Linked DNA regions of Yarrowia lipolytica. Each later gene encodes a partner of the first gene's protein in a complex. Links are inferred from orthologs where the notes say so. Each region holds a gene or a part of one and is shown in the gene's direction. Other genes may lie near its edges.

What was found.
Region 2: YALI1_B08193g (region 1) and YALI1_D04901g share a complex: the UniProt entries of both Saccharomyces cerevisiae proteins name them as parts of the mitochondrial small ribosomal subunit. The link is inferred for Yarrowia lipolytica from reciprocal best matches to the Saccharomyces cerevisiae genes MRPS9 and RSM25.

Annotation. Positions count from the first base shown.
Region 1 is NC_090771.1:811,990-827,935, forward strand, and holds YALI1_B08193g (mitochondrial 37S ribosomal protein uS9m), read left to right. Parts: upstream 1-7,361; coding exon 7,362-8,321; downstream 8,322-15,946. Other genes in the region: YALI1_B08123g (uncharacterized protein), read right to left, coding at 1-358; YALI1_B08134g (uncharacterized protein), read right to left, coding at 998-1,474; YALI1_B08156g (uncharacterized protein), read left to right, coding at 3,645-6,146; YALI1_B08186g (uncharacterized protein), read left to right, coding at 6,614-6,976; YALI1_B08207g (uncharacterized protein), read right to left, coding at 8,633-8,782, 8,825-8,953; YALI1_B08214g (uncharacterized protein), read left to right, coding at 9,470-9,523, 9,976-10,191; YALI1_B08247g (uncharacterized protein), read right to left, coding at 12,293-12,763; YALI1_B08263g (uncharacterized protein), read right to left, coding at 13,880-14,410. UniProt on the Saccharomyces cerevisiae protein: Component of the mitochondrial ribosome (mitoribosome), a dedicated translation machinery responsible for the synthesis of mitochondrial genome-encoded proteins, including at least some of the essential transmembrane subunits of the mitochondrial respiratory chain.
Region 2 is NC_090773.1:480,193-496,149, reverse strand, and holds YALI1_D04901g (mitochondrial 37S ribosomal protein mS23), read left to right. Parts: upstream 1-6,000; coding exon 6,001-6,690; downstream 6,691-15,957. Other genes in the region: YALI1_D04969g (uncharacterized protein), read left to right, coding at 1-1,224; YALI1_D04936g (uncharacterized protein), read right to left, coding at 1,730-1,831, 2,337-2,446, 2,503-2,506; YALI1_D04910g (uncharacterized protein), read right to left, coding at 3,385-5,100; YALI1_D04814g (uncharacterized protein), read right to left, coding at 7,474-13,379, 13,458-13,499, 13,584-14,636, 14,680-14,704. UniProt on the Saccharomyces cerevisiae protein: Component of the mitochondrial ribosome (mitoribosome), a dedicated translation machinery responsible for the synthesis of mitochondrial genome-encoded proteins, including at least some of the essential transmembrane subunits of the mitochondrial respiratory chain.

The DNA of each region.
Region 1 (15,946 bases):
CAGTCTGGATGGAGTTCCGCAGCTCCGTCAGCTTGGCCACGTCGGAATCAACAGTTCGAGGGTACTGGCCGAAATCCTCATGGGGTGCAAACTGCGAAGGGTTGACAAAGATGGAGACAATGGTGTGGTCGTTTTCGGCAATTGATGCCTTGACCAGGTCCAAATGGCCCCGGTGAAGAGCTCCCATGGTGGGAACAAAGCCAATCGATTGGCCCAGAAGGGTCTTCTCACGTCTCCATGCTCGCACCTGGTCGATGGTGTTGAAGACTCGCACACACGTGTCGCTTTCCGTGAAGAGCGTTCTGTGGGCGGCCACGGGTTGCGCCGCTCTGGCTAGCCGAATCACCGGTCGCAACATGTTTTCTGCTTGTGTGTGTGGTTTTTCAAATTTATTTGAGGGATCGGCTCAATCGGGTCGATCTGACTTTTTCCTCCATCCGAGGAACCTTAAGTCTACTCGTAGTTTAACATGGGGTTTAACTGCGGACCAAAGAAGGGAAAATAATTTGTAATAAAGGAAATAAAATAAACAAAATACAAAAAATATTGTCAATATACTGCTGACACTACTAGAAAAATATCCAAGCATTTTTTCCCCGCTATAAACGACCAATACCCCTTCAATCGCCCTCCTAAACTTGCTCTAAACACCACCTCCAATAGCCGTTCGGACGGCTGTGTGTGTATTACTAATGTCATATATATATATATACTGTATATACATATACACCCACATCACCACCACCACCAGGTAAAGCTTTTGTGTGCAATAAATAAAATCCATGACATATATAAACCTCAGACATTCCCCTTGTTCGGTCGTTATCAGGTCTCGTTGTGCGCATGATTACGCAAACAGGACACAGACAACCTCGCTGATCACCATACGCATGTACCTGTCCTGGTACAGGGTCAGCACGAAATAGGACGTTTCCCACGTCCGCAATGCAGCAAGAGCCATTATAATCAGACCCACCATGCATTGGCCAGCTCGTGGCTATAGAGATAGAGCAGCTTCGCATGGTCCTCTTTGGTGGTGCAATCCATGCACTTTTAGGGACATTCCCGGGTCTGCGTGTGACAAGAGTCCTTGTCCGACTAATGCGACATGGTCCTCCACGTACTCAATCTCTATGAGTTCTCCTTCTTCATTCTCTTGGTCGTCTTGATCGTCTTCTTCGTCACTACTGCTGCTGCTGCTGCTGTCGTCGTCACTACTATCGTAATTGGCCGTCTGCCAGCCGCTCTCCTGGAACGTTTCTGGGATCACTGTTTGTGCAAAATGGATCCGGGACTTTGGTTTTCGGCTCTGCAGCTCGTCTGCCAGCAGGTCGACGAGATTTGCGTGTGCCAGCAGCTTTCGGAGATCCGGAGCGTCGACATTGGACTCCCGGATGAGCTTGAACCGGGCCTGCTGTGATAGGAAGTAGATTTCCACGGTTTCTGCCTGCGCCACGGGTCGAAGGAGGTTCATAGTGGCATGCAATTGTTAGTCGCTCGCCCGGGCGAAATGAAGATTACTTATATACGCTTCTTAGCCAAACCCCCTTTCATCTCCAAGCTTTGGACTCTACCGTCAGCTGCACAGGTCCGAGATGGGTCTGCATCGGAGCTGCTACATAAAACTCCGACCGAGGTACAAGTAGCGCTGAAAACCGGTGTAGAAAAAATCCCAGAGCTCCACAAGAAGAGTTAATACATGGTCGACGACATCCGAACCAATATGGACCACGACTGATGCCTCGGAACTCCTTGGCTACCAGATATGCCCTGCTACGCCCCCGTCACAAGACAGTCTCAGCTACAGTTTTAAGCCTAAAAGATGCTCTATAGGGGTACACCGTACAGTTGGCCGATCGGAGTTGCAAGACCGCCAAAGGTCCGTTGGGACGCACGGCTGAGAGGAGGAAAAACCATCACAAGCCTCAAATGTCGCTAAAGGGCTGCCCGTCCGGATTTCTTGGGGAATTTGCGTCTTCGGACTTGTTGGAAGTCAATTTTGAAATTCGCGGAATTGGAGGAAAATCTGTAAACAAAGTAAAAAGATGAAAAAGGAAAGATGAAATCGATTACAGAAACATACCAGTATTCTATGGAAGAGAAATGGTGATGCCTTTTCGCCTTCCAGCCTTACTAATACTTGCATGTCCTTGCTCAAAATTTGCTGCACTTGGAAACAATGGTGCACTGTTGAGATACGGCCCCGAAAGCACTATCCAACACTGAAAGATGGCAAAAAGAACAAAAGAACAAAAGAACAATCAGAAACGCTCTATCTGCAGAAATAAGAGGCAGAAAATACGTTTGGGCCATAAAACTCCCGTTTTCCCCAGGAATATTTCGCCTTTTTACACCTTCTATAGCTTCTACCACCCTCGAACCCAACATCCGCCTGGCTAGCTCAATCGGTAGAGCGTGAGACTCTTATTCAAAGCAATCTCAAGGCTGTGGGTTCAAGCCCCACGTCGGGCTACGTTTTTTTGCCAGATCTTCTGCTTCAGTTCCTACCAGTATTTTGTAAGCTTACTAAGCACAATGGCAATGTTCTGTTGGTCAATCAGTGTTATCTGAACCTAAAGTACAAGTATGTATGTACAGTACTTGCCGGCTTATTCGTCTTTTTGTTTTCTCTTTTTTTTGAGGATTGTATTATACAAGAAAGTATGAGCACGGTTACAGGAAGAGTAATGTACAGTTTGTTGAATGTTTTTGGGGAGTTCTGATGGAGTTTCAACCTCATATATTGCAATTCTAACCCACTGCTCACTCCTTCTCCCGTCATTGAATTCCAATTTCAATACATCCAACATACTTGTATGTACTGTATGTACTGTACTTTTTTTTTTTTCCATAATCTCAAACGCATTATTTAATCACATGTGGAACGCAAAACAGGAAAATCGAAATAAAACACTGTCGTCTCCGCTCCCTCCTTGTTCACTCTCGTGACCCCGCTCTCGCGAGTCCCTATTCACGTGACCACATCCATCGTTGCTTGCTTTTTATCCCCCGCCCCCTCTTACCCCCTCTTCTCGTTTAAAATATTTTGCTGTTACCCTCGACAAAATAAAGAGAGGACATTGCATTGCTATTCGCGGAAGAAGAAGACGTGGATCTGGTATATTAGTGGAGATATGGAGATTTGGAGAAAAGATCCAGAATAGCCAAGGGACCAAGATCAGAATCATGTGACGATTTGTGCTACCCAGCCCAATTATTCAGCTTCGAACGTTGCTACTTGTAGTATCTCTACGTCACCAGATCAGAGTTTAGTGTCTCCAACGGGTGTGACGGCGCTAGTGTATGTACATACTGTAGTCAGAAAGACGACAGAGATGAGGATTTTGAAGAGGATCGTCGAAAAAAAGGGACTTTTAACAGCGACGTTTCAGTATATTCTGATCATGTGACCAAATATTAATAACTTCCTAGTCTTCTAGCCTTCTAGCCTTCTAGCTCACCGACCTCGGAACGCGGCTTATCTCTCTCTCCACGTGTTTTGGCAAACTTTCTTTGCCCCGTGTTCTGCAGCGTGCTGCAACCTTGGGTGTATTACCGAAGCACATGTTTGTGGAGAAGCTGACATCTCCAAAGTGGCCGAGCAGTTCATAATCTGGCCCATTTCAACACAAAAGCCCACAGCAATGCGACTGGTGCAGAGGTTCAACAACTGTTCCGGAGGGCTAAGCCCATCCAGAGTGGTGGTGTTAGCCAGTGCTACTGTTACTACTTGCCCTACGGGATCCACCGTTCTAGCAAGACGTGTTTCACTACCGACAAGAAGCTATGCTAACCGTCACACCTTTTCGACAAGGTCCATTCTGAGCCAGGACAAGATCACAACGTCCAGTTCGGCTGCCAAGACCGCCAATGAGATACTCAGCTCGCTACAGCCTCCTCCAGTTCGCCCCCACTGGTTTTTCGCCACAGACGTGTCTCTTCGAGAGCCCGACTTTCTGCTTGGAGACGAGGCTCTGGAGGATAAGCTGACAGGAAAGAAGGAGGAGCTAAAACGACCTAAGAAGTTCATGCCTTTCTCCGACCAGGACAATGCTCTTTTGGAGAAGCGATACCAGGAAGTGCAGAACAAGGTCACCAGCGACGCGATTGTGCCTGTGCGAGAGGATTACCTGTTTGAAGTGAATATCAACACAATGGAGCTTTCGCCAGTTTATTGGGAGGGTCCCATCTTCGAAGTTCGGCGTTCTGAATGGCTTCTAAAGGACGGATCAAATGCCATTCCTTGTTCCAAGCAGCTCAACGACCAGCTGGAAAATGGCTACAACAGCAAAAAGCCATGGATGGAAATGAAGGAGAAAAGCATCAGTATTAAGAACAGCATGGAGGAGGTCTCAGCAGGAACCAGTACTAATTGGGTGCTCAAGGGCGAACGGTATCAGGGCAAGCTCTGTGTCTATTCTACAGACTGTTACACTGCGTGGATCATGAGCAACGATGTCTACGGTATGCTGACAGCCGCCTTTTTGCAGAAAATTGCTTCCGGTAACATTCTGGGTGCGTCCAAGCTGATCCGAGGCTATGATCATGTCAAGAAGAAGGAGGACAGCGACGAGAAGAAAAACAACAACAAAAACAACGTCAAGAAGAAGAACAAGGACATTGGCAAGTTTGATGACAAACCAGATACACGAAAGGAGCCTCTCACGCCGGATATACACCACTTTTCCTCCGCACAATCCAAGTTGAGTAATCGATATGGGTCTCAGGCGTCCGAACAACAACAGATGGAGCAGGATTACGAAGACAACAAGGAGAATGCGGGTAGTCACGCATCCAAGGACGAAGACAAGGCTCCTCAATACGACCATCTCGTTCTGTGTGTTCATGGAATCGGTCAAAAACTGGGCCGCCGAATCAAGTCTGTCAACTTTGTTCATGATGTCAACGTGCTCAGAAAGACCATGAAAAGCGTGTTCAACGAAGGCAAGCAATTTCAGAAATATCGAGATGTGAAAATCGATCCCGAAAAGGAGAAGGAGGAGAGGGAATGGACACACCCCAAGGTCCAGGTTCTGCCTGTTCTCTGGAGATCGCAAGTGACGTTCAGCTTGACCAAGGCAGACATTCTACAGCATCAGGGAGACCCCAATTCACAGGTCTGTCTGCAGGACATTACTGTTGATGGTATCTCCAGTGTCAGAAACATCGCTGGGGACGTCATTCTCGACGTACTTCTGTACTACCAACCCTTTTACCGAAGACAGATCAACCAGGCCGTCATCACTGAGTGCAACCGAATCGTTGAACTGTTCCGAAAGCATAACCCCAAATTCCGAGGCAAGGTCAGTCTTATTGGTCATTCTTTGGGCTCTGTAATCTCGTTTGATGTTCTATCTAACGATCTTGCGTGTCCTGGATTAGAGAACAAGAGCACCGATGGCTTGGAATTCCCTGTTCAAAACTATTTCATGATGGGCTCTCCCCTTGGACTTTTCAAGATTCTGGAGGGAAGCAGCATTCGACACTTTGACGCCGAGAACCACAAGAACAATCTGATTGCAGACGAAACCAAGTTCCAGCCGACTTCGAACTACCTATCTCCCAACGTTAAGTACCTGTACAACATCTTCCACCCCTCAGACCCTATCAGTTATCGAATCGAGCCTCTGGTTGACAAGCTTGCTGCCTTTTTGCGTCCTGCCAGTGTTCCTTTCACCAAGTCTGGTTTCTCCACTGAGTCCATTTCCAACCTCGGTCGTCAGGTCGCTGAAGGGGCTCAGCAGATGTGGAACACCATCTACACGAGTGGAGAGAGCATCACCCAGAAGCTGCTCAATGCCGCAAGCTTCCTGGAGCAACAGAAAGAAGAGGAACGAAAAGAGGGAGCAGGAGAGGAGAAGGTACAGCCCAGCCACGAGGGTGCCGAGTTCCCCTCGACAAGTAGTATCTCCAAACGGAAGCTGACTCCCGAGGAGAGACAACGAGTGATCACCAAGCTGGGGGCATTGTCAGCCACTGGACGAATTGACTATGCTCTTCAGGAGAGTGTGCTGGATCTGGGATTCATTTCTGCCATTGCATCTCACATCAGTTACCTGGAAGATGAAGATGTGGCAGCATTTGTGCTGCAGAGACTGCTGGAAGAGCAGAAGGATTTGGAAAATAAGAGGAAAGCCGAAAGCTAGACAACCCAACAAACATTCATTAGAACTACAGCTTGTAGGGATACATTAATTATATCCATTTATGTCACGGCAGAGCCAGTAGCAGAATACACCGCGTACAGTTCCAGCCAATTATTTAACAAGGTTGGTCAATTTTCGCAGGTAGAGAATTTCCAGTCTCCCACAAGAAAAGTCAGTGAAATCTGGTATAGATATGAATGGAATCCCCTACAATTCAACAAGACTGGCGGTATGTTTCATAATGTCTGATTTCCCAATTCCTTGTTTTTTTTGATCGAATTTCGCAAGATCTAACAGCACTGCAGTTTCCCCCACAATCAACTCTAAGCCTACAGTGTACAGTATGTTTATATGTACAGTACAGTAATACTGAACGCAGAACTCAACTTTTCACTCATCAAAATGAAGGAAACAGGGACCAAGGAGGAGATTACACAGGTGAGTATTGACTGCCTTGATTACACCTAATGGCATATGATACATATGATGATGCAACACAAGTTGGCCTCGCGATCAACGACCACGCCACTAGACGATACGCGTGCACGCGAGTCTCTCGGGTCTTATTTATTCTAACCCAGCGTCTCAAATCTGCGATTTGGATAACTGTGTCGAGGATTGTGACAGAGCAGACGCGTAGCGTGCCTGTGGACAACTCCTTTGTTGATGCGTTGACTGAGCTCGTGTTTGAGCAGGCAGTGACCCTGGGGGGAGATCTGGAGTCGTTTGCCAAGCTCGACAACCGGGTGGTTATCACCATGAGGGACCTTGATATGGTATTGAGACGAAATGAGGGTCTGAAGGAGGCTGTTTATGCGTTTCAAGGGTAGGATAGGGGGTATTTATTGACTATTTATTTGAACATTTGAACATTTGAACATTTTGATCAAGTTGAGCAGAAATGCGAGTGATCAAGAGGTGGAAATGTCTCACCTTGGCCATTAATCGAACGCAGTGGACATTCTAGTAAGATTATTTTCATTTATTGACCAATTTAATGTCTGATACATTTTATTCACATTGTTCTGAATTTCCATGGGTTTTTTGCCCAAATCGAGACCCGTCACGGTCTCGAATTCAAGATAACCTTACACTATATGATCCTGACCAAAATCGAACCGGCGAGCTTCCTCCATGCAAAAGTCTAATTCTTGCACCCATGAAATTTCTCAATAGGCGGAAACTATCACCAGATCACACATCACCACAATCACAATGCTGCGACTAACTCGATCGGTGAAAAACCTGAGTCTGGGCGCCGTGCGGTTCCAGTCAACACAGGCTCCTCGACAGCCCAAAAACATGTTTGTGCGAGAGGCTGAGCGGGCTGAGCGAGACGCACAGGAAGCCCAGAAGTGGAGAGGAGGAAAGAAGCACCTGAATTTTGGTGTGGACATGAGCATCTCCGAGACACCTCGCGGCGCGGCCGAGAACGTGCGAGTTGCCCCCGCAACGGCTCTTCAGTACACTGGTCGAGGAGCTCATGAGCAGACCATGGAGGTCGTGAACCGAGTCCGACGTCAGTACGAGTTCCTTCCTAGAAACCGAGAGGGTGTTTCTCCCCCTAATTTCGTGACCCGAATCACTTACCTGACCATGCTTGGTTCTTCCGAGCCCGTTTCCGGCCCCCAGCATACTGAGCTCACCAAGGCTCTGGCCGATCTGTACTACATTGACAACCAGCTCAAGCCCCAGGTGGTGAAGGATCTACTGCGTCGATTCTCGCGAAAGATTGATACCGACGCAGAGTCCGGCGAGATCGAGACTCTGGACGAGCAGGGACGAGCTGTGACCCGAGGTCGACGAAAGACCTCTTCTGCACGAGTCATTGTCACCAAGGCTCCCGAGGGAACCGTCGGTGAAGTCCGAGTCAACGGTCTGTTGCTGTCCCAGTATTTCAAGGAGCTTCAGCATCGATCCGAGGTGCTGTTCCCTCTGTCGGTCGTCCAGTCCGAGGGCAAATACAACGTGTTTGCTACTGTCCTCGGTGGAGGCAACTCTGGCAAGGCCGGCGCTATTTCTCTGGGCATTGCTCGAGGCATTATTGTCCACAACCCCCTGCTCCGAAAGCGACTGTCTAAGGCCGGATGTCTGACTCGAGACGCCCGTACCAAGGAGCGAAAGAAGCCTGGTCTCCGACGAGCCCGAGCCGCCCCTACCTGGGTCAAGCGATAAGAGACGAGAACTGTATATATTTGTCTTGTGGAGACGCCACTTGGCTGCCTTGAGCAGAACGATAGGTTGTCAGTGGTGGTTGCACTTGGCCGTTGTTGGTATACCTGTATATAAGATAACGAAGATGTTTGATTGAGATGGCACGAGTATGCAATAGTCTTACAGAAAGAATACGTCTGGCAGCACACAATTCTGCCATTACAGAGAACCTAACTCCTATGTCATTCTCTGACCAATGATCTCGCGACATACCTTATAGATATGTTCCTTGATTCATTTCATCTTCTCAAGATTCCCTGTCATCTATATCATTACAATCTATAGCTACCACTGGCACATACCGTGGAACTAGTCAGTACTTGTGCCTTATTTGGGCCTGGGGATCTCTGTGACGAAGACCTGAACCCGCTTTTGGAACACTCGCCACCAATCTGAACCCGCTTTGGAACACTCGCACCAATCTCTGTCCGCTATGCGTGTGACCATGTTTCCAAGGATGAAACAAAGAGATCGGCACTATACACAGTAAGTAAAGTCGACCTGATAACGACCTGACTTGGACCGAAACGTTTCGGAGACACCTGAGAAGATTCCAATGGGCAAGTGTCTAACACAGATACCGAGTTTGACATGCCGATTGAGGATGAGTCTCACGTCGATAAAAGATGGAACAAACCCCAGATCTGAGTCACCACTTCATCTTTTCAGCATCAGATCCTCTCAAGATTCTTCAGATGTAGAAATTCATGTTTCTGATACAGCCGGGGGCCAGTTCGAGCCAGTTTGATGAGACCAGCTCGACTGTTCGTATTTTTGGAGTAGTTTCTGCGAGAGTTGTGTGTAGTAGAAAAGGCTCAACCTCGCGTTTTATCCTCGTATAATAATGTATCCTGTACAATAACGTATGATGTAATCTTTTTATTGAAACCTGGATTAATTCCTGAAAGGTTGCGTTAAGTAGAGATCTTGATATTGTTATCTCCTCCAAGGTACAGTACAGTACAGATGTTTTTTTGTTTTTATTTTATTTTGTTTTATTTTATTCTATCTATTTATTTAATTTTGTTCCACATGGTGTCATGCACTCCACCACTACACTTTCCAGGCTTATCACAATTTTATCTCACTTGCAACTAACACCCCAAAGAATGTTTTTTGCTCGGCACGCCAGCACCTTGAAGTCCAATAAATCGTTGGAGCATGTGAGTATGAGAATTGAGAACCTGAAGCTGGTCGCAACGGCGACTAGAACTGGGTGAAGGTCATAGCAGCAGAAGTGCTGACTCAACCCCGATCCCAACTAAGGCACCACTGCAGAAATTGCCAACAAATATCGGATTATTGGAGAAGGAGTCTGGAGAAAGGAGTCACGTGATCCAAGCTGGCAACGCTAGTGTAATGGCTGTCAGGGGAGTGGCTTCTTCTGTTTGGCAGGTCGTTCTTGTGGTGCCATGAGATCAGCTGTTACTTGCTGTTGGGTGGATATACGAATACGGGTGATCTAAGGAAACAGCAGTACCATAATCTCGCCGAAAGTTTTGGAACTACCATTGATATGTGACATCTGAAAGTCTGCAATGTCAACAGTGGTAACTCTCAAGAGCAGAGCATCATCTGGGGTCAATTCTACGCATCAGTCAAATGCTAACCCAAGTTCGTTCAAGCAGCTGCAGCCCGTCAGTTGTGGCGAGACATCTGCAAAGCAGCGTACACCACTCCGCCTACAACCCGGAATGAACTTATTACTTACGCCCGAACCGAGTTTGATCGACGCAAAAACGAGTCGGATATCCTGAAGATTCGGTACTACATTTCGACCGGCACAAAGGAGTTCCAGACCATCGCAAAGAACATGGGAATTTCGCTTTAGGGACATTCAAAGGGCTACAGAGATCTTCTTCGACACCACCTGATCCATAACCGCATTATAGGACACACAGGGCTATCCACTAAGGCTGCATATAATGGCTATCACGAAGAACAAAAGACCACCGCAGGTACAGTTAATGAGATAGTAATCAATTAAAGTAAGCGAGTGACATGTAGAAGTTTCCCTCACATATAAGGAACGACTGGCCACTTACTCCTTAAATCCGTTGTTAATCTCCTGTTCAAAACGTGCCATCATAAAGGTCCATCACCAAGGGTAACAGCTGGACTCGGCAGAGTCGAATAACTCTTGACTCGAATGAACATACCAGTAGTAGGTCAATGATTTTGGACCAGAAAAGCTCGATAGTCTCCATGAAGGAGGTACTCCAACCCTGGGGAGTGCGGCCTGGGGTAATTATCTCAGGAAAATGGTTGATGAACTCGGTTTTAAGGGCAGGGGTAGGGGTTTGAGAGAAGTTGAATCACGCCTCTGAGGTTCCTACTAACTGACTGATAATATTTACTTTTCATAGTTCTTCTTTAAGAAGTCGCAACGCGAAATATGAATTAAAAAAGTAATTATTATTATTATTATATTTACTGATGGATCGGCTCGGTGAATTTCTCATTAAAGGTATTCTTTGTAGGCTCGTTCTGCCGTTGTCAATCATGGCTAGCACTGAGAAGAAACCTCCATCTACACTTCCCGATTGGTCAAGCCTATCGAGTGTCTAATGATTGAGGGAGAGTCCTTCTTGAGACCGGAACTTGACCAGACGGATCTGCTGCTCATCAGTGTGGTACATGGCAATGATATATGATGGCAACAGAATTGGTGCAGTTCTTCTGGAACTGTTCGTACGGGAGTCTAAGTCACACGGGAAATGACCTCTTTGGTACCGTATGTACAGGATGTACTGGTATATAACGATGCGTGGGACTTATGAGTCAATGAGCTCAACTACGACTCGAATCTACTCGAGTTATAAGGACATTAGCAGAACGGAGACGGGATCAGAACCCCCACCGAGGTACTCATAATCGCTCTTCGAAAGCAGTACTCTGTGAGTTCTTGCAAATCTCCAAAACGCCAGGCCTGTCCTACAGGTAATCTTCTTGCTAACCAGTCAATGCGAAAATGATTCAAGTCATGTTGAGATGGTCGGCTTTGAGTTGGCGATTCGGTCACGGTTTGAAGAAGCTATGGTATCCACATGAAACTACGATTTCTCGTCAGATAAGTAATGTCTAAGCTCCAGAGAGAGCACAGTTGGCGGGGTCTGTAGAAGACATACCATAATCCTAAGTACTGGCCATACCGTTGTTATTTGGACAGTATGTGTGTATCCATAAGGCCCCTCTTTCCTTTCTTCGACTAAGACGACAGTAATTTTCCTTGAAACTAGCATCCACGAGATCACATAATTCAACAAATTCCAAGTTAGAATGGAACGGAATGAAGTTGAATATCCTTGTTACATTCATATAGAAGGTCTCCGAACTCATATTACAGCCCTTTTCTCTCCCCGTAGAATGTTCTTCAGAGAGAGAATGTTCGAGCGTAAAAAGAAAGTTTCATCATCGTATCCGACTAACCTTATTTTTGACAAAGGTCTCGGTTCATCTCTACATTACCGTCTACAATTTACCAAAATGTTCTAAAGAACTAGTTTGCGGTTTCTCGCTCGCCGTCACGTCAACCTCCACAGATTCTCTGGTATTCTTTCTCCTTCGACAACGTTCTCTTTCTTTCAATCATGCAGAGATCGACACTAATATTTGCCACTAATGCAACTCTGACGAGGTCTTTCGAAACTCAATCCGGCTACTTCAACAATATAAAAGGCCCCTCGATCGCCCTGTTTTTCAAGCATCAGAAGTCGATCAGTCTTTCAGCTTCTGCAGAGGATTTGATCACTTCGAGAGATGCTGACACGGATGAGCGGAAGCTATGAACCTGTACTTGTCCTGCGCGAGCGGACATTCGCTCACTTCTACCATGAAGCAACTTGAGTTCTCTTTTGTTGCAGAGCTGGAGAATCAGCACATCTCTCTTCATGCCTCTACGGATGGAGCTATGACGAGCAAAGATTCGCAATCTACTCTGGAGCTCCTTCTCTCAAGATGGTTCGCAACCACGGGTGAAATTCCCAGCACGAACAACACTTTGGGGTCTGCTCTACTGGTCCTGTCGCAAGGCAGTATTCCAGAAGTTGCTGAGCGGAAGCTGCAAAGCCTTTGCTACGACTCAACTGTTGAGACTGATTAAAACCGTGCGTGAAAGAACGCATGAGCGAGTAACTAAGACGTGAAGCTGAGCGTAAGCTACGAAGCTGCCGAGTGAAAGGAAACCCCTCAGTACATGCACTAAGAGGACGCAGAGTGATGACGAGTTTGAGGCTTAGCAAGCCCCTCATGAATCCTGTCTCTGTGGATATGAAGCAGTGACGGATATGAAACATTGTCCATGAGCTCTCCGATAGTATGGGTAGCGCCCAAGGGTGCAACTCCCTGCATGGATAATAACTCCTGAATGCTTTGGAGGGATGGACTGCCGTTTGAACAGTCATATGTCTCCTCCATCTGCTGTTGACTTGGTATCAGCACACCAGGAATCACGGTAAAGAGAACCGCTGACACACGATCCGAACCTGATCCAGCTTTTTCCGCCTGAGCATAAGCGTCTGCAAAGACCGCCACCGAGCAAAGTGTTTGTGCCCAACCTGCCAGGCCGCCAGAGCAAAGAGCCAGTCCGGGCCGCAACGAGCCAGAACTAGAGCCGCCGACCGACAAATGCCAATAAAACAACACCACGATAACGCGGAAGAGCCGCCTGGAGCTGTTGATGGTGAAACTCCACCAGCCCCCAGAGCAGGAGACGTTGGAAGCGACTGAGACACGTCAAGTTATGCCAGCACAAGAGTGACACTGTGAAACGATGACGACAGCGCGAAGGTGAAACTGTGAACTGCGAGAGCAGAATGCCAGCACCTTGAGAGCATGGGCCAGAGCCAATCAGTAAGAGCCAGAGCCATGACAATTAGCCAATGAGTGCCAATGAGCCAATAAAAGCTAGGTGTTATGCAATAAGAGCAGAGAGATCCAGAGCCAACGAGCCAGATCTAAAGAGTCAGAGCTCCACAGAGGAGCCATACTAAAGGCAGTCGGAAGTTGATCTTCTAGATCCAAGATTCGCATTCAGAAAGGATGTAGGAAGTCGAACCTCGACACGAGGATGTAGACGAGACCGAACCTTTTAGTCTATAGAAAAGAGGATGTAAGCGATGAGCTGAACCTCTGGGGATAATACATTATGGACCATGAAGTCCCACCCAAATTACAAATTGTAGTGTTCTATGTGGAGATGTTTTTGTACTTGTAGTTATATCATCGTAGAGGATCATAATGTCGTAAGTGCTGAGAGGTCAGAGAATTAATATAGAACACTTGTGGTCCAGCTAGGGTTTCAATTGAGCCGAACTACCACTAACTCAAGCCCTCAACCCACCCATTGATTGAACAATATAGTACAAACATTACAAGAACTTCCATGTGTGTATGATAAGAGATATATTAAACCTGGCTACAGTAGAAGCTAAAAAGAAACTGAAGGAGTGATAAATAATCAAGGATGCGATAAGGGGTATCGGCCAGATTTGATGATAAGATGAAAATCAGATGAATAGTTACTCCTTTGTGGCACCAATGGTGAATTTGATAGGCTCCTTGCAAGCGTAGGCTCCGTTGAAAACGTAGACAACCTGTCCACCATGGAGAGGATCAGTCTGGGAAGTACAAGAGTAGAACTCTCGAGTTCCGTAGGAAGAGAGTTCCTTGACAGAGCCATCGCCCTTGTAAGCCCAGCCTCCGCTGTTGCCCTCAAGGGGAGGAACGGGGCCATCCTTGACGTCGAGCTTACCGGTCTGAACATCGGCAAAGAGTTGTCGGGGTCCCTGGCCCTCAGAGAGAACGTTGGTCATGGCATTTCCAACATCCTCAACCTTGAAGTAAGAGTAGCCCTGTTCAAGGCCGTAGACAACATCGTTTCCTCGGATCTGAAGAGCCTTCATACCGAGAGCTCCCTGGCCAGGCATAAAAGCGTGGAGAGAGTAGGTGGGGTGAGAGGGCTCGTTGTGCTCCTGGGGCTGCTCGCAAGCAACGGGAGCAGCAAGAGCAGCAGAAGCGGCAGTGAGAAGAGAGAAAGTCTTGAAGAGCATTGTTGAGATGAAGTTGTGGTTGAAGTCGTGGATGTGGTTGTTTGATACAGAACTAGAGGGAGATTGGACTCCTATATATATGCCTGAGATTCAACTCGAAATAGAAGTGCTCAAAATAGATTGCCCCCATATCCGCTCAAGACGGTGATGCCGTTGGATATTGAGTTTTCGGTTATATTTAACTAGCATATAATATGCAAACGGGATGACTTGAATGCGCAGCAGAAGTTGCGATTTTGTAACGAATATGGCCGAAAAAAAAGCCCAATTCAAGTCAGGAGAGTCTTTCTTACCGAGAATCCCTCCCTTTTCCTCTTATTTTGGCTCCTCAGACATCATTTACCTGACATTGCACTGTATATATTTAAGTTTGGATATAAATAGAACAGCAGAGTTGCATCATATCAACGGAATAAATGATGTCATAGTATGGAGTATGAGATATTTAATCAGACGTGAAGAGTCAGATGAGTTGTCGTGCTATGATTATAGCAACTTAATAGATGCACTGTACGTGTAAATTGTCATTCTGATGTACAGTACTTGTAGTGGTACCCATGTGCTAGATTTGATCTCAGAGATTCGTCGATAAACTAAGTCATTCGGCGCCAACGGGCACTATAACCTCATTCGGTGCCAATGGCACCAGATCTTCCCGAAAATGTTGGTGAGATTTGGTTTCCATGCATTGCAAGAGATGCTAGAAATGCCGAGATGCCGAGAAGGGAAATGTAATCCCCTGAATTGAACTTAGAATCAACGAAGGAGATGATATTTAGTCGGTGCTGGAAGTTCGTGTTTGATATGAAATGCATTGTCTGTTTTAATATCCAAAGAAAATAAACAAGAACTTTCTTGTCTCCTATCTATTCTGTAACTAACCAGTTATTGCTCTCAAGTATCACAGTACAGTATTCTTCCACCATTATACGTAAGTAATGCACATTAATGGAGTTAATTGCCCAGAAATGTGCGCCCTTGCTGTTTATTTTACACAAAAGCAGGCTAATATAACAAGAGCAGCTCTTGAATTGTCAAGGGTCTGTTTAGTTTCCCTCGTGGAGGATACAACTCACTGAAGCCAATGCTCCAATAGAGTTCCTTTATCCATATCTGTTACAACTTGTACGAGTAGTGGTTGTCTACATCAAGTTCAGTATGTTGAGTAATTCCACCTACTTGGGTTTCAAGGCTACTGTGAATTAGAAGAGATCGGACTCACCTGGGGTCAAGCCCAGTGTTTCATTCGAAAGAGGACTTGCTTTTACCATACTGTAGTGCAAATAGTTAAACGGACTTTCATCTCCGACAAGAATGAAGTGTAAACATCTTTTAACTACAGGTATGGTACCAGTGTGAATGAGGAAAGGATTATATACAACTGCCTTTTTCAAATATTATGTTTTTCCACCCTGAAACCGAAATTCGGGACATCAAAGTGACAGTTCATGCTTGAGAGACGAATTTCAGTTTGCAGTCCACTGGAAATGAAGGCGTATGGAAACTGGATCTCGCACACTGTCTCTGAGTTGAAAA
Region 2 (15,957 bases), on another chromosome or scaffold:
ATCCACGACGTTGAGTTCCGGGATCAGGGATACACAAAGCCACGAGTGCTGGTGCTAGTGCCCACAAAGAACGCCTGTTTCGAGTTCATGCAACTACTGGTTGGCGCTTCAGGAGTCGATAGAGAAGATAACAAGGCGCGGTTTAACAAGGCGTTCCACGAGGCTGGCGCTGTGCTCGACACCAAGCCCGAGGACTTCCAGAAGGCCTTCAAGGGCAACACTGACGACATGTTCTGTCTGGGCGTCAAGCTACGAAACAAGAGCATCCGGTACTACTCGTACTTTTACCAGGCTGACATAGTATTTGCGTCTCCTCTGGGTCTCAAAACGCTTGTGGGCAGTGAGGGTGACTCCAAGCGGGAGTTTGATTTCCTGTCGTCCATCGAGATCGCCTACTTGCATGAAACCAACCACATGGAGATGCAGAGCTGGGACAATGTGTTGACGGTGCTGGGCCAGACTAACTTGCTACCCAACGAATCTCATGGCTGTGATTTTAGCCGAGTCAAGAGCTTCTATCTTGACGGACTAGCCAAGCACTTCCGACAGACCATTGTCGCCTGCCAGTTTGTCACTCCAACCATCAACTCTGTCTTTTCCAACACAGTCAACTTTGCGGGCAAGACCAAGATCACTCCAATCTACAACGGAGAGCTAGCAGTGGCAGGCATGAAGATCCGCCAGATTTTCACCCGGTTCAAGGCTCTGTCTGTGTCCGATGAAATCGATGCCCGATTCAAGGCCTTTGTGCAAATCACGCTTGAGGGTATGATTCGCTCGGGAGACTACTCCGGAACTCTCATCTACGTGCCCACCTACGTCGAACTTGTGCGTCTCAGAAACTACATGGACGAGAAGAACATTTCTTTTGGTGCCATCAGTGAATATTCTTCCATCACCGAGGTCAAACGACACCGAACGCTCTTCCGAGACGGCCGAGAAAAGATTCTGCTGTACACGGGACGTCTCCATCACTACCGACGATACTTTGTCAAGGGAGTCAAGTCGGTAGTTATCTATAAACTCCCTGAGAACCCGGCCTTTTACAGAGAGCTACTGCTGTTTCTGACCCACTCGGTCGATGAGGGAACGCTCGAGCAGTCTATGGCAAAGTGCAGAGCCCTGTTTACCATTTACGACCTGTTGGCCTTGGAGAGAATTGTGGGAACGAAGAGAGTGAAGACAATGGCAAAGAGCGGAGAGAGCAGTTATGAGTTTTATTAAACACATAACTCCCAGACCGAAGCTGCTTATACACCTAATGACGGATTCTGATCTCACTCATTTCTTTCCCGGGTAGCTCACTCTCTACAATCTCTTTTAAGACCACATATATAGACACTAATAAAGATACAACTGGTCGAGATCATGCGTGTACCCACTGTAACTTGTGAGAGAGCTACTGTATTTATATGTCCTTCGTTTCACACACGGCTAAACATGAGACTTTTCGGTATAGCACTCATGGGTTGTAGACACGATCCGTTTGATATAAGAATGCAACTATCATGTTCTTCTCGTATGATCTACTTGTAGTTAAGGTACTCTCAACTCCTCGTATCCGTTCTTCTCAGAAAAAAGGTCCTGCCTGTCCATTTGCACACCACAAACAAAGCCTCTTCTCTAACAGATAACCACTGCTTTTTAAAAAGTCTCATTTCTATATATCCACCATTGCTTATTTCTCTATTTTGCCATCTGTCGATGGATGTTAGTTGTAAGTTGCTGACTACTCAATCAACTTGCTGACGGCCATGGCGATGCAGCACAGGGACACGTACGGACTGAGTCGTTCGCCAATTCGGGCTGCTTTCCAGAAGATGCCGAGGGGTCTGTGTTAGTACGGGGGTGGATGGAAGTGAATGGTGCGAAACATCACCAACGGACACGGATGGACATGAACGCAGCTGGTAGGCAAGCAGTGAGTAATATAGAACGTGTGGGACAGCTGTAAGTGGAGCTTGTGGGAGCAGTTAGCAGCCATACGAAGCAGAATGTGGAACACCATATGGCCCCTTTTTTCACTACAACTCCAGCTCACCCTACTATGAAGATCACAGCACAGTATGATCTAGCTGCTGTTGCTTGCCATAAGAGAATCAACTCCAAGTTCAGGTGTGCAGATAGCTCGCTCTTTTGTTGAAGGAGAATCACGTGGAAGAATTGGGTGCCAGGTCACTTATGTTGCTATCGACGTGTGGAACGTGACACTGGGAACACAGCCGTTTGTCTTACCGAGTCGTTGGAGATGTGTCGTGTCGCAGATGTTAGGACCACGTGACTGGATCACGCGGCCCACGCAACAGGCTGGTGTCTGTCACGTGACTTGGTACTCACCCAGTCTTGTTCCGGTCCATAATGGCGGGAAAAGTGGCATGGACGTATGACGAGGTGCAGATGAAGAGCAGGATGACCAGCAGTAGAGATTGGAAGTTGAAAAGTGCGGACTGTGTTAGTTGTGCACCAGAAATCCTAGTAGCGTTTGTTGCGGCGCGATACTCACCATTTTAGCCGAGTTGGAGGACTACTTGGTTGTGAAGGGAGTTGATGTAAGTGGTGATGTAGGTGTTGAAGTTAGTTGTATTTTTTTGCATATACATTCATTTAATTATAACTTTGCCGTGAAAGAATAACCTTTGAAATGAATGTACGTATTGTACATACTGTAGTTGTTGTGCATGCGCCAGAAGTTGAATGATGGTTAAGACTGCGAGTAAAAGGGGCAATGGAGGAGAGGGGGCCTCGATTTAATGGTGAGAGGAATAATAATCATTTACAAGTAGATGAGAGTAGTTATATAAAGGATTAGACAATTATTGGTGAAGAAAACGAGGATTGTAAATCTATGTTTTCCACTAATATCTTCAAGTTTACTCCATCAATAGTTAACTAGTGGTTAAGAGTTGCCAAGTAAAAAACGAGCAGACAACTGTACAATGAAGATCCCAAGGATGGAGTATTGGGTATCCACATCGTTCGGTACATACTATTCTACAAGCACATACTGTGTGGACTCGTATAAGTACGGGTAGTTTCATATATCTAAGTCCAGTCAATTTCTCAAAAAAGCGTTTGGCTTAACAAACAAATTGCAATTTAGAAAAACCTTACAAATGTGGAACTGGTTTGATGTTGCTACCCCCATTCACATGTTTACATATACACACACGCGCGTTCATCTTTCCATCTACTCCCCTCCTCCAGAGAAGTAAAAAATGCAATCTATTGTCATCGGACCTTTCCGATATAAAAGTATTTTTGTCATCACTTGGGGCCTGCTTTCCTCCCTTCATGTTGGGGGTTCTTCTCGTCCAGTTTCACTCGCCTCCTGACGTCCCCTTTCAAGAAGTTCCTCATCGATTTGACAGTCGTCTACAAGGCCTTTTATTTTGTCGATTCATTTGCGTCCTTGGTAGACTCATCTCCAATTTGAAGGTCCTCCTCAACCCTAGTTTCCATCTCAGCTTCAATGTAAAAGTCCGCTTCCTCCAGTTTCGACCATGCTGTCCGTGTAGGCTGTTCCACCTTCTCCTCCTGCATCTCCTTAGGAGCAGCCATCTCTCTGGCATACCGCGACTTGTCCAGAAACACGTCCATCCACTCCTGGACCATGCTGATGGGCGGCTTCAGCTCTCCGCCTCCAAGCCCCTGGTGTTTTTGAACATGCAACCGTCTAAAATAAATAAAAATGTACGCCTGCTTCTCCTCGTCCGTCCTTGCCAGTCGCACGGCCTCCAGGCAGTTGGCCTCGGAAATCAACGCAGTTCCTCCTCGAGCATCGATCACCCCGGTCGCCTTGTACGCCTTCAGAGCCGCCATGAATAGCTCTAGAGTGAAAATGGCATTGTCAGGCTTCGTTTTAAGCACGTACTCGGTCAGATAAATGAGATCATCGCCCGTCCACGTCTCATGCTTCTCAAACCCTTGGTACATGTCTTGGAGACACATTGTGGGCACTTCTCCAAAGTACATCTGGGCCATTTTGAGCACTCTGGTGCACTCTGAGAAGGATTTGTGGTGATGGAGGAGCATGGAAAACGTTTCGGGAGTCATGGTTGTCGGAGGAATGTCACCTATAGAGCTCATGTGCTTGTATGTGGTAGTCTTGGCATTCTTCTTCCGGGCCGTCTTCCTCTCGAACTTCGCAGCTTTGAAAGCACTCTTGTTCTGACGAACAGCATTGTTGATCTCGCTGGTGGAGAACTGGGCAAGATGCGAAATCACAGCCACAGCCTTGTCGTATCCTCCTTCACCACTTCGCAGTAACCCCCATATCAGAATGTTGACATCTTGGGGTCCCGTGTCTCTGCCTGAATAAAGACTGTAGAAGGTCTCCAGAGTGTCCTCACCAGCCCTTAGTCGCTGTCTGAACACTGTCTGTACTGTAGTGGCGTCCCATTGCACTCCCTTTTGCTCCATTTTGTCCAGCAGCTCCTGAAATGCCTTATTATCTCCCTTGCAAATCACCAAGGCGATATTGAAGGTAGAAACAGGCCATTCGACGTTTCCTGAGAGCAGCTGCATCATGTATTCCATGTCTGCCGAACTCGGGGGCGCTGGCTTTGCCGGGTTGTATTGAGTCTGCCAGTTTTTGTCTCTCAGCACGAGGTACACCAAGGTGTTGACTTCCTTGATAGATAACGGGATTTTACATTCGCGCATGTCTTCACTGATAGTCAACAACCGCTTGATGGTGTGTTTATCACGCAGAGCCGGCGATATGATCAGATCCAGCAGTTGTTCCAACTCAGCATGTTGCAGATGAAGCGGTCTGGGTGTGGGCAGGTTCAGATACAGGTTGTAGATGTCGTCGATGTTGATTTCTTTCGAATAGAGCGCCTTGGTGATGGAGGCGTAGACAGATTTGTTGATACGCTTCCGTGGCACCATGTACCGCAGCTGGCGGGTCTCGTAGTAGTTAAGACTCTCTGGATCAGTGTTGCGCCCCTTGCGTGGGGGTGGCTGAGATTGAGACACAGAAGGTACGTCGAACGGGCGGAGTTGGCGGATTTTCGATTCCATGAGAGTGGAAATAGCACGGGTGGGAGTCACGCGAGCTGAACTGGCTCGGAGCACCGTTCTAACGGCCCTTTTGTGCATTGTTGAATGGTGATATTGAGATCAGAAAATAGTTGCAGGATGGAGAAGTTTAAAAAAATCTGGGGAAGGTCAAAGGGTGTTTGGTCTGGTGTCAGATGGAGTGTTATTGCACAAATTTGACGTATTATATGATTCAAGTATCGCAGATGTGCCTGGTTCAAAATTTAAACCTCTAGGGTGAATATTGAAGGCGAGAGAAAGACAGTCATTTTGTTGATCGCGTAATTTCCCAGTCAACTAACTTTGGATATTAGTTGGTGTAAAACTTAGTAGGATGAGAGCATTAGATAGCACTGTTGTAGGGGTATTAGACAAGTTAAAGAGATTGTAGAAGTTTTGTTGACAAGAAGATGTCATAAATACCGACCGATGGTACTTTCATCTACTTCCAACAGCGTTTAAGACTGTATACATCTTTTGTTAGCCATACAAAGTTCAGGCACACATACTGCGGATATGTGTACAAGTTGTCCATATACAGAAGGATCTTGGGATATATACTGATTCAATAATAGTTTCTTCAGTTATAATACACCCGAAAAATCCGCGGAATCTTTTTCCTTCTCCATACACATCATGCTCCACCTCCGAATCACCCTCCCACACATCTCCCAGCAATGACTTATAGTTGTTTTCGCTCATAACCTATAGAAAGAGGGGAGGGTGCGCACTGTGGCTATCTGAAGGGGAATTCCTACAACCAAAAAAGAGCTTCTCATTAAACTAGTGTTACTGAGTAATATTCGATTATCCATTTTCTCCTCATCTCCGCCATACCCCCATTCTATTCCCATACCCAATATCTCTTCCTCCTGATAAACTTTTTCAGTGAAAAAAGCATGATCCCACAACATCTCACATTCACATCTGTGAAACAACACACTTGTATCCCCACACACCATGTCGCAACGAATCAAGACCGCCGCCGTGGATATTGTGCATATTACCAGTGGCCGAATTGCCTCCGGCATGCTCTCCCACGAGCCCATCTGGTACCGGGCCATGGCTGCCAACATGCCCACCACTGTCTACCAGCACAAACCCCATTTTGAGAAGCTGGCCCGAATCGCCCAGCGGGAGTCTGAAAAGCTCAACGAGTTTATCAAGACGCGGTCCAAGCCGGTGCGGGTGCGAACCCGGCATCTGTATGAGCCCGTGCACCTCAAGTTCATGGAGGATGAGATCCGAGAGATTTTCTACAAGCAGCATCCCTGGGAGCTGGCGCGACCCAAGCTGATTGTGGAGAACAGCGGTGACGATCACGTGACCCAGGACTGGTCCAAGATGTACCAGGCCAACAAGAAGCTCGACGGTGAGTCTGTGGTTCAGCGAACCATTTATCTTCTGGGTGAGAAGAAGACCCACGACCAGAAGGCTCTTCTGGAGGCCTACGACAAGGCTCGATTCGAGTTTTACAAGCTGCGAATGGCTGAAGATGTGCAGAACGTCACTGCCGCCGAGGAGGCTGATATGTTTGGAGCCTGCTTCTCTACCTCGTCGGTGGAGCGAAACCTGTTCCATGAGCAGAAGCGAATTGAGGATTGGAAGGAGAAGGCCGTGGAGATGACGTTGGATATGGGTGCCAAGTAAGCATGAGAGCAGCTAATGATTTCACTAGGTCATGAGCCTGGCGAATTTATCTGGACCCAGGCTTTTGAACATTAACATACTCACATGCTCCCGAGCCTACCAACAACTAAAATAAAGTGTATATAGTCAAGTTATGAAACGAAAACGATCTGAGGGTCTAGTGAATGGGTCCCTGAGACAGATGATAGTCTTGTGGAGACAATGTTAACGAGTTTGACTCTGCTGCTCCTTCCAGTGATCCATAAGTCTCTCTGTTGATTTGATGGGTTCTTTGTGATAGGTTATATTGTCTTGCTTACTTCAGTCGAATTTTGAACTCTACATTGTAACTTATTGGCCATTCATGGAGTTCTACCCTCAGTACATACAGTACATCGTAATGCAACTGTTGATGCTATTGTACGTCTAGCTAGGCTACATTCTGGGGTTCCAAAGTTGAAACCATCTGTGTAGAGCCTGTGTCTTTATGAACAAGCACATACTTCTTCCATCTATCATCTCTGTGATACTCTACCTTCGAACTTCATTTAGCCTGCCTGGTTCTGTTGAGTACAAGCATTTCACAGCCGAACCATCTCTCGTTGTACATTTAATGCATCAATGTCATGTTATTTATATACAAATATGTCCCTGTGTCAACTCCGACATGCTACAAGTAGTGAGCGACACTGTTCAAGTAGGACAGTGGACAGTAGCCATAGGTCAAGTACGTACTCAAGCTGAAGTGTTGTACATTCTCATTGTGTCCTGAGTGAGGATTCGCCTGAATTCGCCTCTGAGAACTCAGTAGAACGGCGTCCACCCGTGAAAAATCACAGCCAGATTCTCCACGCTCACCGCCTCCCCAATCAGCTCTCTCACCACGGCCTCCGTGCTCAATCTCACTGCGAGCTTCCCCTTTACACCGCTCAGACACATGTCTGCCGTCACGTTGGACTCCTCCAACTTGATATCAGACAAGTCTGATCCCGAAGAGCTTCTTGTTTGTTTTTTCTTGGGGGACATTGTCCACGAATACAACGGATCGTAACGAAGCACGTTGAGAATCGATAGAATGTTATCCTGCTGTTCTCGGAACAGACCCAGGGACAATTCACAGCAGCGCCTAAATGGCCCATCGACTCCCACACTACCCATGGCATCAACCATGTCTCTTGTGAGTCGAAAGGGCACCTTTTCAGGCACAGTCAGGTTCTTGCCCTGGTCAAACGAAATACCCAAGTCGATATGCACCAATTGACCTGTCTTGTAATCAATCATAATGTTGTTACAATGTCGATCTCCAATACCAAGAATGTAACCAAGCATGGAAGAAGCAGCTGCTGAACGCACATAGTTGGTACGGGCTTTGAACCAGGCCTGGGCGGACGAACGAAAGTTCTGAAAAAAGTATTGGCTCATTACAGGCGTCACGTGCGTGTAGATTTCCTCCAGTACCTCGACCCGTCGACTGTTGCTCTCCTTGGCTACCGCACTCATTTTGGTCCGTCCGGTAAGGTAATCCCAGTCGTCTTTTTCGTGTAAAGGCACCAGAGCTGCCTGGAGAGACTCCGTGTTGGCCACAAACTCAATCATGCCTGCTCGAGGACCCATGGGTACCACATTGTACGTTCTGATAGACAGGCCACGTTTGCGGGTCTCGGGGTCGCCCAAAAAGTACTGGTTGACTCTGCAAAACACCTGCTCCATGATAGCGTCCTGTCGCATATCGTCTTTGCCTCCCTTGAGAAGCGCCTTGGACACTGAGCCGTCAGAGAGTTGGAAGTCCATGATTTTAGGGTGCGAAATACCACCTGCTTTGATCACCTGCGCGAGCACCTTGTTCATTGACGGTATGTCGGTGTAATCGAGAGATAGCGGAATCTGAGCAGTGGGAGGGGGTATATTGAGCTTCCTAAGACCATTCTGCCACCATGAGCCGTTTGGAAATTGATTGATAGACGCCTTTTGACCCTTACCAGGCCATTCGGCGTTTGCCAGCTCCACGCATTTGTCAGTGAAAATCTCCATGGCTCGGCAAATTGTCTTCTCCTGCGTTTTAACGGTGTTCCACACCTTGACTGCGGCCTGGATGCGTCTCTCAGTCTGGGGAGACGCGTCGGTGCGCATGAGGGATGAAATTTGATAGAGACAGTGGAATGGGTGAGCTTTGCATGTGGCAGACACTAGGTCTAGGAGAAGCGTCTGAAAGTAGTTGTTGGGCTCGTAAGAAAGCTTGGAAGACAGCTGGTTGATGAGAGGAGCCAGTTTGAACGACGGAATCAGGGCGTAGTCCTGCATACGTTCATTGACAAAGTTCACGTGCGAATTGCCAAACCAGAGCGAAATCAGCCGAGTCACATCTTCATGGTATTCAGAGTCTCGGACAGCACACGAAAGAAGGTAGAATTGCACTGCCGAGTCAAGGAACATAGCCTTGAGTCTCTCGTAGTTAAGTTTCGATTCCTTGGCACGATCCAGCGACTTCCTTGAGATTCTTTGCGCGTGTTTAATCTCCCTGGTCATTGATATTCGCGACAGGTTCGCCAATTCACCCTCCAGACGTTCAATGTCCATAACAGCGTTGTGAATCTGCTCGTCGTAGTTTTGCGAGTGCAGCTGGGTCTCACAGAACTTTGCAAACACGTGAAACATGCGTGTTTTCGGGTTGCCGGCCGGAATCAGGGCCATGTACTCACTTGCTCCGGCAATGTAAAGACGATGAATCTTCTCGGGAGACATCATACGTGCTTGCGAAGACCAGTCGGTGAGTAGGACGGTCGCCTGGCAGAACTGAGAAGCTAATACAGGTGACTGGCCGGGATTTATCGATCCAAGCATGCGTTTGAGCATTTCCACGGGTGTCGTTCGACTCACAGCAGCCTCGGACCATAGACAAGAGGCGATGGAAATGGCGCAAACGTTTCCGGAAATGTGAGACGCAGTTCTGGACAGTTCCTGTAAAGAAACAGCGCAGTTCTTTGAAATTTGCGCATTGTTGAGTTCTCTGCTGACAGCTCCAAGCTTTGACAGTGTTAAAATACCATTGTAGGAGGCTGTCTCAGTCTTGATGGTTCTCCAGGCTGAAGCACAAAACTGTAGAATGTCTAGGACTCCGTCGGGAGGCTGGATTCGATCCAGATAGTCCGAGTTCGCGTCCAGTTGCATCTGATAGAGTAAGTATTGCATGCCAAGATACTTGTCGGACAGGGTACTCTTCAGGACAGGTTTCTCATCCACCACAATACTCCTCAGTTGAGACAGCACCGTCTGGTCATCTGTACCTGTTTCCAGAATGGGGTCTTCCAGCAAGCCCAACTTCCACCGGTACACGTCATCAGAGTTGATCGTATACGCGAGGCCGTTCATTCCGGATGTGCTTAGGTGTGAAAGAATGTCCGTCTTACTTTCACCACCTCCCGTCTCCACACTCCAATCAAACAACCCCGACTCGTACTCGAAGCAGGTGAGATTCTGGTTCTCGTGGTTGAGCTGTTTAAGTGCCGACTCAAGACACGGCGTAAACTTCAACCCGTAGAACAAGTCCGGATCGTCGATGTTCTGGTAGATGTCGTAGTAGCTAGGTTGGATCTCCTGGCTCGCCCAGCACGCCTTGTCAGCCTCAAGAAAGTAGAGAGCCTCGGTGTAGAGATGCAGAGTGAGTGCTGAGTTGACTATTTCGGGCTGCCAGTTGAGTGTTCGGTGAGCAGTGAACGAGTTGACGAAAAAAAAGGTCTCGATGACCACCAGAGAGCTGTTTTGAGACAGGATCTGGGACAGATAGGAAGGCTCGCCTTGTCGACAGTACTCCAAACACGTCCATTTGAAAATAAACGGGAGAAGGGGAGACGTGCTGGACAGGGTCCTGACTAGAGGAATAAGTAGTTCAAAGTCACCTCCTAGTAAGCCCAGTAACTCGAGAGTCGTTTTTTGAACCCATCCTGTAGTTGGCTCGTCGGTATGAGTGTACTCCAGCACTCCAGAGTCAAACACATGCTGTAATTCTGCCGGAACCTGCACTTGTACTTTGGTTACGATTTTTGAGAGACAAACCTCAACAGCAAATTTGGCTGTAAAGTCTGACCCGCGCAAAAGAGTCAGGAACTCGCTCGTGAGTGCATTCCAGAATGAGGTTTCAGTGTTGGTTTTTGGTGCACTATTGCTAGATTCTCCAAACAGCAAGTACCCTCTTCCAAGAAGCAGACTGAGCACCCTAGACTCCTCCCAGTCGAAAGAATACAGCTTCGAGGCTCGTTTGATAAAGGAGACTGTTTCCTTAGTGCACACAATGTCCATGAGACCCAGGAGTGTCATATTGGTTACTCCAAAGTCAAGGCTTTTGAGAAGAGTAGCTTTAAGTTTGTCGCTAATTTCTGTATGAAGGAAAACAGATAGGAACGCCTCTGGATCGGAAAAGCCGCTGTTCACCCACTCAATGTATTTACAAAGATGGGGTTCTGAGGGGTGAAGTAGATACAGCAACTGAGACACGTCTGCTCCAAAGAACGACTGTTCTCCGAGATCGGCAATGTATCCTTCCAGATGGGGTAGTTTGATGACCTCAAACAGTTCACTTAACAGATGCCTGACACTGGCTCCAACTGTAGAATGAGACAGGAATGAAATGAGACAAGAAACCATCTGTTGAAGCACGTAGTTATCCGGAGAGCAGAGATCTCTCTTGGGAAACAGACAGAGCACATACTTGAGCTGAACCAAGCGTAACGGAACTTCAAACGACACTCTTGGCTTCAGCATCAAATTAAGTAGTCCTCTTACTAACATCAGAAGTGTGCAAGGAGAATAATCAGGCCATGTGCGACTCAGAATGTCCAAAGGAGGTCCCTGGGTATTCCATTGGAGTGAATCTTCGCTGCATAAGAGCTGTTGGGTGGAGAAATGCCCTTCCTCTTCAAAAACACAAGAACCTACCTTGACGGAAAGGATTTTATCAAGAATAGAATCAGTTCCAGTCTGCTTGCAGAACCGCACCAGAGATTCAGAGTCTGTGTCGAGTTTCTGACGCAGCATATCCGTTTTCACTCGCTCGATAACCACCGGTAACAGGCTCAGGCACTCTCTGTGGACACTAAGAAGAGCCACGATCATTTCCTCGACCACAAGTCGTGATTTGGATTTGGCCGAGGACATGCGAGTCAGTGTCGCATCCATGCAATGGTACGAGTCTTGTGAAGAGACTCGTTCAGCAGCACAAATTGCCACGCTGGAGTACAAGTTGAGATATTCTGAAGGCGTGGAGACCTGCATCAGGCCGTAGAGCAGCTGTGGACCCACGAGAAACTTGTCTCGGGACACCCAGCGTTGCAGATCATCAGCATCTGACGATTCTGTCATGCCGCTTTTGAAGTATACGTCCAACAAGTCGACGACAAGTTGTTTGGCCAAAGGAGAACAGTCCCAGAGGTATGAAGATAGCAGAGTTTGACCAACGTATCTAAAAAGCTCTGGGAGACGTTTACCGGGGTCGCAAGAAGCGTACTGTTTGATGTCAGACGGGAAGATCGCTAATAGAAAGGGTTCAGATTTAAGAGGCCCTCTCAACAGCAACGAAAGACGTAAATCAGGCATGATATTCTTTCCAGAAGGAGAATCGGGGTCAAACTCGTTTTCGGTCACTTGACTCACGTTCAATAACTTCTCAATTCCATTTATGAACGAATCCCACAAAATGCAAAGAGAGTCGCCGAGGAGATTGTAGTGTCTCAGACGGTTGATCAAAGTGATGGCTTCAAAGAAAACGTGACTGTCACACGACCCACCTTCGACACGTTTAGTAACCACTGCCAGAAAGTCCGAAATACGACTATTCAAGCCCACAGGAGTGCCTTGTCGGTCTAGAACAGCACAGACCACAAGAGCAAATACGGTGGAAGGTAGAACCACATTGACATCTATACTTGCACTCTCACACCAATCTCCTAATTCGTTCAGGTAGTTTTGAAAGCCGCTCTTGAGGTCTCTGATCGTGATGGAAGGCATGCACTCTGTCAATTCAATGTCACCAGAGGTACTGGAGGTGGTTTTGAAGTCTGTCTTCCACATGATAGAGCTGGTGGTAGTCTCCAGAGTGTTCTGGGGTGTTTCAATCATCCTGATTAGGCATCCCACTGACGCCAGCAGCAACCCAGCAGTGTCCAGCATCATTTTTGAGCTTGTTGCACCAATCTGTTCCGAAGCCAATACCACAAACAACCAGTCGGACCACTGACTCTGAGAGCACGCCTTATGACTAATCAAAAACTGAGAAGCACAGGTGACGAACTCCAGACTGACATTAGAGTACTTGAGTGGCCCCTTACTCTCGGCATTGGAAGCTAGACTCACTACCAGCTTGGGATCAAGAGCTGAGCTATGTTGTCTTAGGATGGTAGTGAGAAGCACACAAGCAGAGTCTTCGGATCTCGTTCGCAGCTTTGCAACACCTTCAGTCCACCATTTGGTCAGGAAAACCACGTCATGAGCGTTCTTTGGGCTCAGAGGTGGACTTTGAGCGAGTAGTTTGGCTGCTGAAAAGAATTTCCATCGTGTAGTTTTGTCCAGTGACCCAGATATTGAAGAAAGAAGCGATGCAAGAGGTTTGTCGACCTCGGAGATGGGTTTGGAGGCCTGGAATGCCTGGATTTGTGCAGAGATGGCATTGAGAGTGGGTGTTTCGGGGGAGATGGATACTCGCGGTTTTTTTCGGGGTCCTGAGTTAGTGAACAACACTCATTCTCAGTATCATGTGCTGCCATGTGCTGTCTCATCTTCAATCATCTCATACTCACCATTAAAGTCCAATAAGTCGCTCTCGGTTCTTCTTCGGGGCGCTGGGTTAGTTCATATAAACCACTGTCACGTGCTTATCACGTGATTGTCACATGCTTGACACAAATCACTATCGTTTTACTCACCATGCAAATCTTCCTCTTGCTTGACGTTTCCATCCGTCAGAGTATAGGACAAGACATACTCCAACATGGCTATCAATTTACAAATGAGAAATTGCATCGTCTTTTTGCTGTTGACAAGCACAATCTCGTCTTCAAACACCACATCATTGTCTTGCAAAGAGCTGCTATTGTACTCGTTTTTCAGCACCTGTAACAACTCCACCATGTGGTCTTCGATCTGATTAAGTCTATCTTGGTCCAAGGGAACAGGGCAGGTTTTTCCAAAGATAGATGCCAGATAGATCTCCATTTTTAGCAGGAATCGTAACGAAATTTCTCTCACGGCTTTGCTTTTCGACGTGAAAAGCTTTGTTCCAATGGCGAAAATAGAAGGAACCATTTCGTGGCAAATTTCGTAGTCACTGCCAAAAACAACCTGAAATAAAGAGACCGAAATCGATAGAATTAACACGTGCATCTCAGACACTTCTTTGTACTTGTAGAGCATGGAATCGATGCAGTTCCATAGGTCATGCTTCAATTCAGCCATTCCCACGTATTTTGGTTTAGTAAGCAGGTCCAGGCACAGTAAGAGTTCCTGAATCAGCATTTCCAGACCACTCTCTTCCATACTGTTGACACACAGTGCGCTCAATTCACGACAGAGACATGCAACAGAGCGTCTGTAATGATCCCATAACAGATGCTCCAGGTGCGGTTTGTGGCTCAGAACCAGACGGAGATTACTGGCCACAATCAGCTGAGAGCCTCTGTCTTTGTGCCGGGCCAGTAAGAGTTCACATACTGTCGAGACAATGAACTGGCGACTACTCCTAGCCTTGAACCGTCCATGTCCCCTTGCTATCGTCTTGAAAATCGACATTTGAGTCGTGTGTCGCTTGCCTGTCACCGCGGAGGATGCGATATCACGTGATATACTGTCGCACACGCCCCGGATCACCATGCTCAGGTCTTTATCCGTGGCCTTTTGGGCGAAATCATTCCGATTCACCGTTTTTTCGAGCTGTTTGAGCCCCTCCTCTCGCTCCTTGACCTTGGTCGACTGCACCCGGGCTGTGTTAATGTTGGTAGAAAAAAGTGCGCCGGAAATACTCACTTATAACCACAGCTAGACCCTCCATCTTGTTGTAGATGCCTGTCGAATGTGTTACCAGTGCCTCTAAGGTTGATGATATGCATGTAGGTGTATATTTTGAGTTTGTCAGTGGATAAGGGGTGTCTTGTAAATAACGTGATTTGTGTGAGCTATGAAGTACAAGGAGATATTATCATGTCAACAAACGTTATATATCCTAGGCTTTTAGATATCACTCTGATCTGAGGGCTTTTAGTAGAGATTGAGTCGTATCTCTTGCCATGTAAATTTTACTTGACAAATCTAAGTAAAGTTACTGTTACTTGACAACTTAAATTTTATGTTATTATAAATAAAATAAAAATTGAAACTTGACGCAAAATATAGCAATCGACCAGACAAGCAACACTAGAGCAAAAAGTGCTGGAGCAAAAAGCTGGAGAAAAAGAATCGCAAGAGACTCTGAACTCCGATACGGGGAATCGAACCCCGGTCTCCACGGTTCTCATTATGAGAGCGTGATGTGATAGCCCCTACACTATATCGGAAATGGTAGCGTTAATAGCCCGACGTGGGGCTTGAACCCACAGCCTTGAGATTACTTACTAATAAGAGTCTCACGCTCTACCGATTGAGCTAGCCAGGCAATTGCTGAAAAACTGGTTATTTTAACCTCCGCGATTGTAGCTACAAACGTCACGTGATCTAAAGTAAATTTGTTAGACGCTAAGTATTATTTGTTTACGTGATGTAATCTGGTTTGAAAGGGCGGTAATATTCCATAATGAAGCAGATTGAAAAGTGTATGATAAATGTGGGGGAGAGAAAAAGGCTCTTGTACTTGTAGCTCTTATTTTAGTGTACTTGTACTTGTTTTTCAAGTCAGAATATCTTTCTGTGAGTTTGCAAATGCACCTATAAGTAAACGCTTGCAGAAGAATTCCCTCAAATCTGATTGAAGTAAATGGGAATAAATAATCGGACTATGAATATGACTGGACACATATGTATTGAGGTTCTGGTATTTAACTATCACCAGGCAATTTTCTCATTGTCTTTCTAGGGACATTCTTACTATCCACCCTACCGTGGCGTAAGACTCCTCTGTTGGTTGATACTAGAAGCCCAGCACTGCATTAAACTTCTACTTGTTAATAATTCATTCCATCATATATATTCCCCTGGTACCCAGTCTCGTTAGAATTCTTCTTCCCGTTGATGACTACAGACAATGCTTCTGCCGCGGAGTCTTCCTGAATGACTGTCTACAGCCATTGTATGTAATTCATCAAAAGGGAC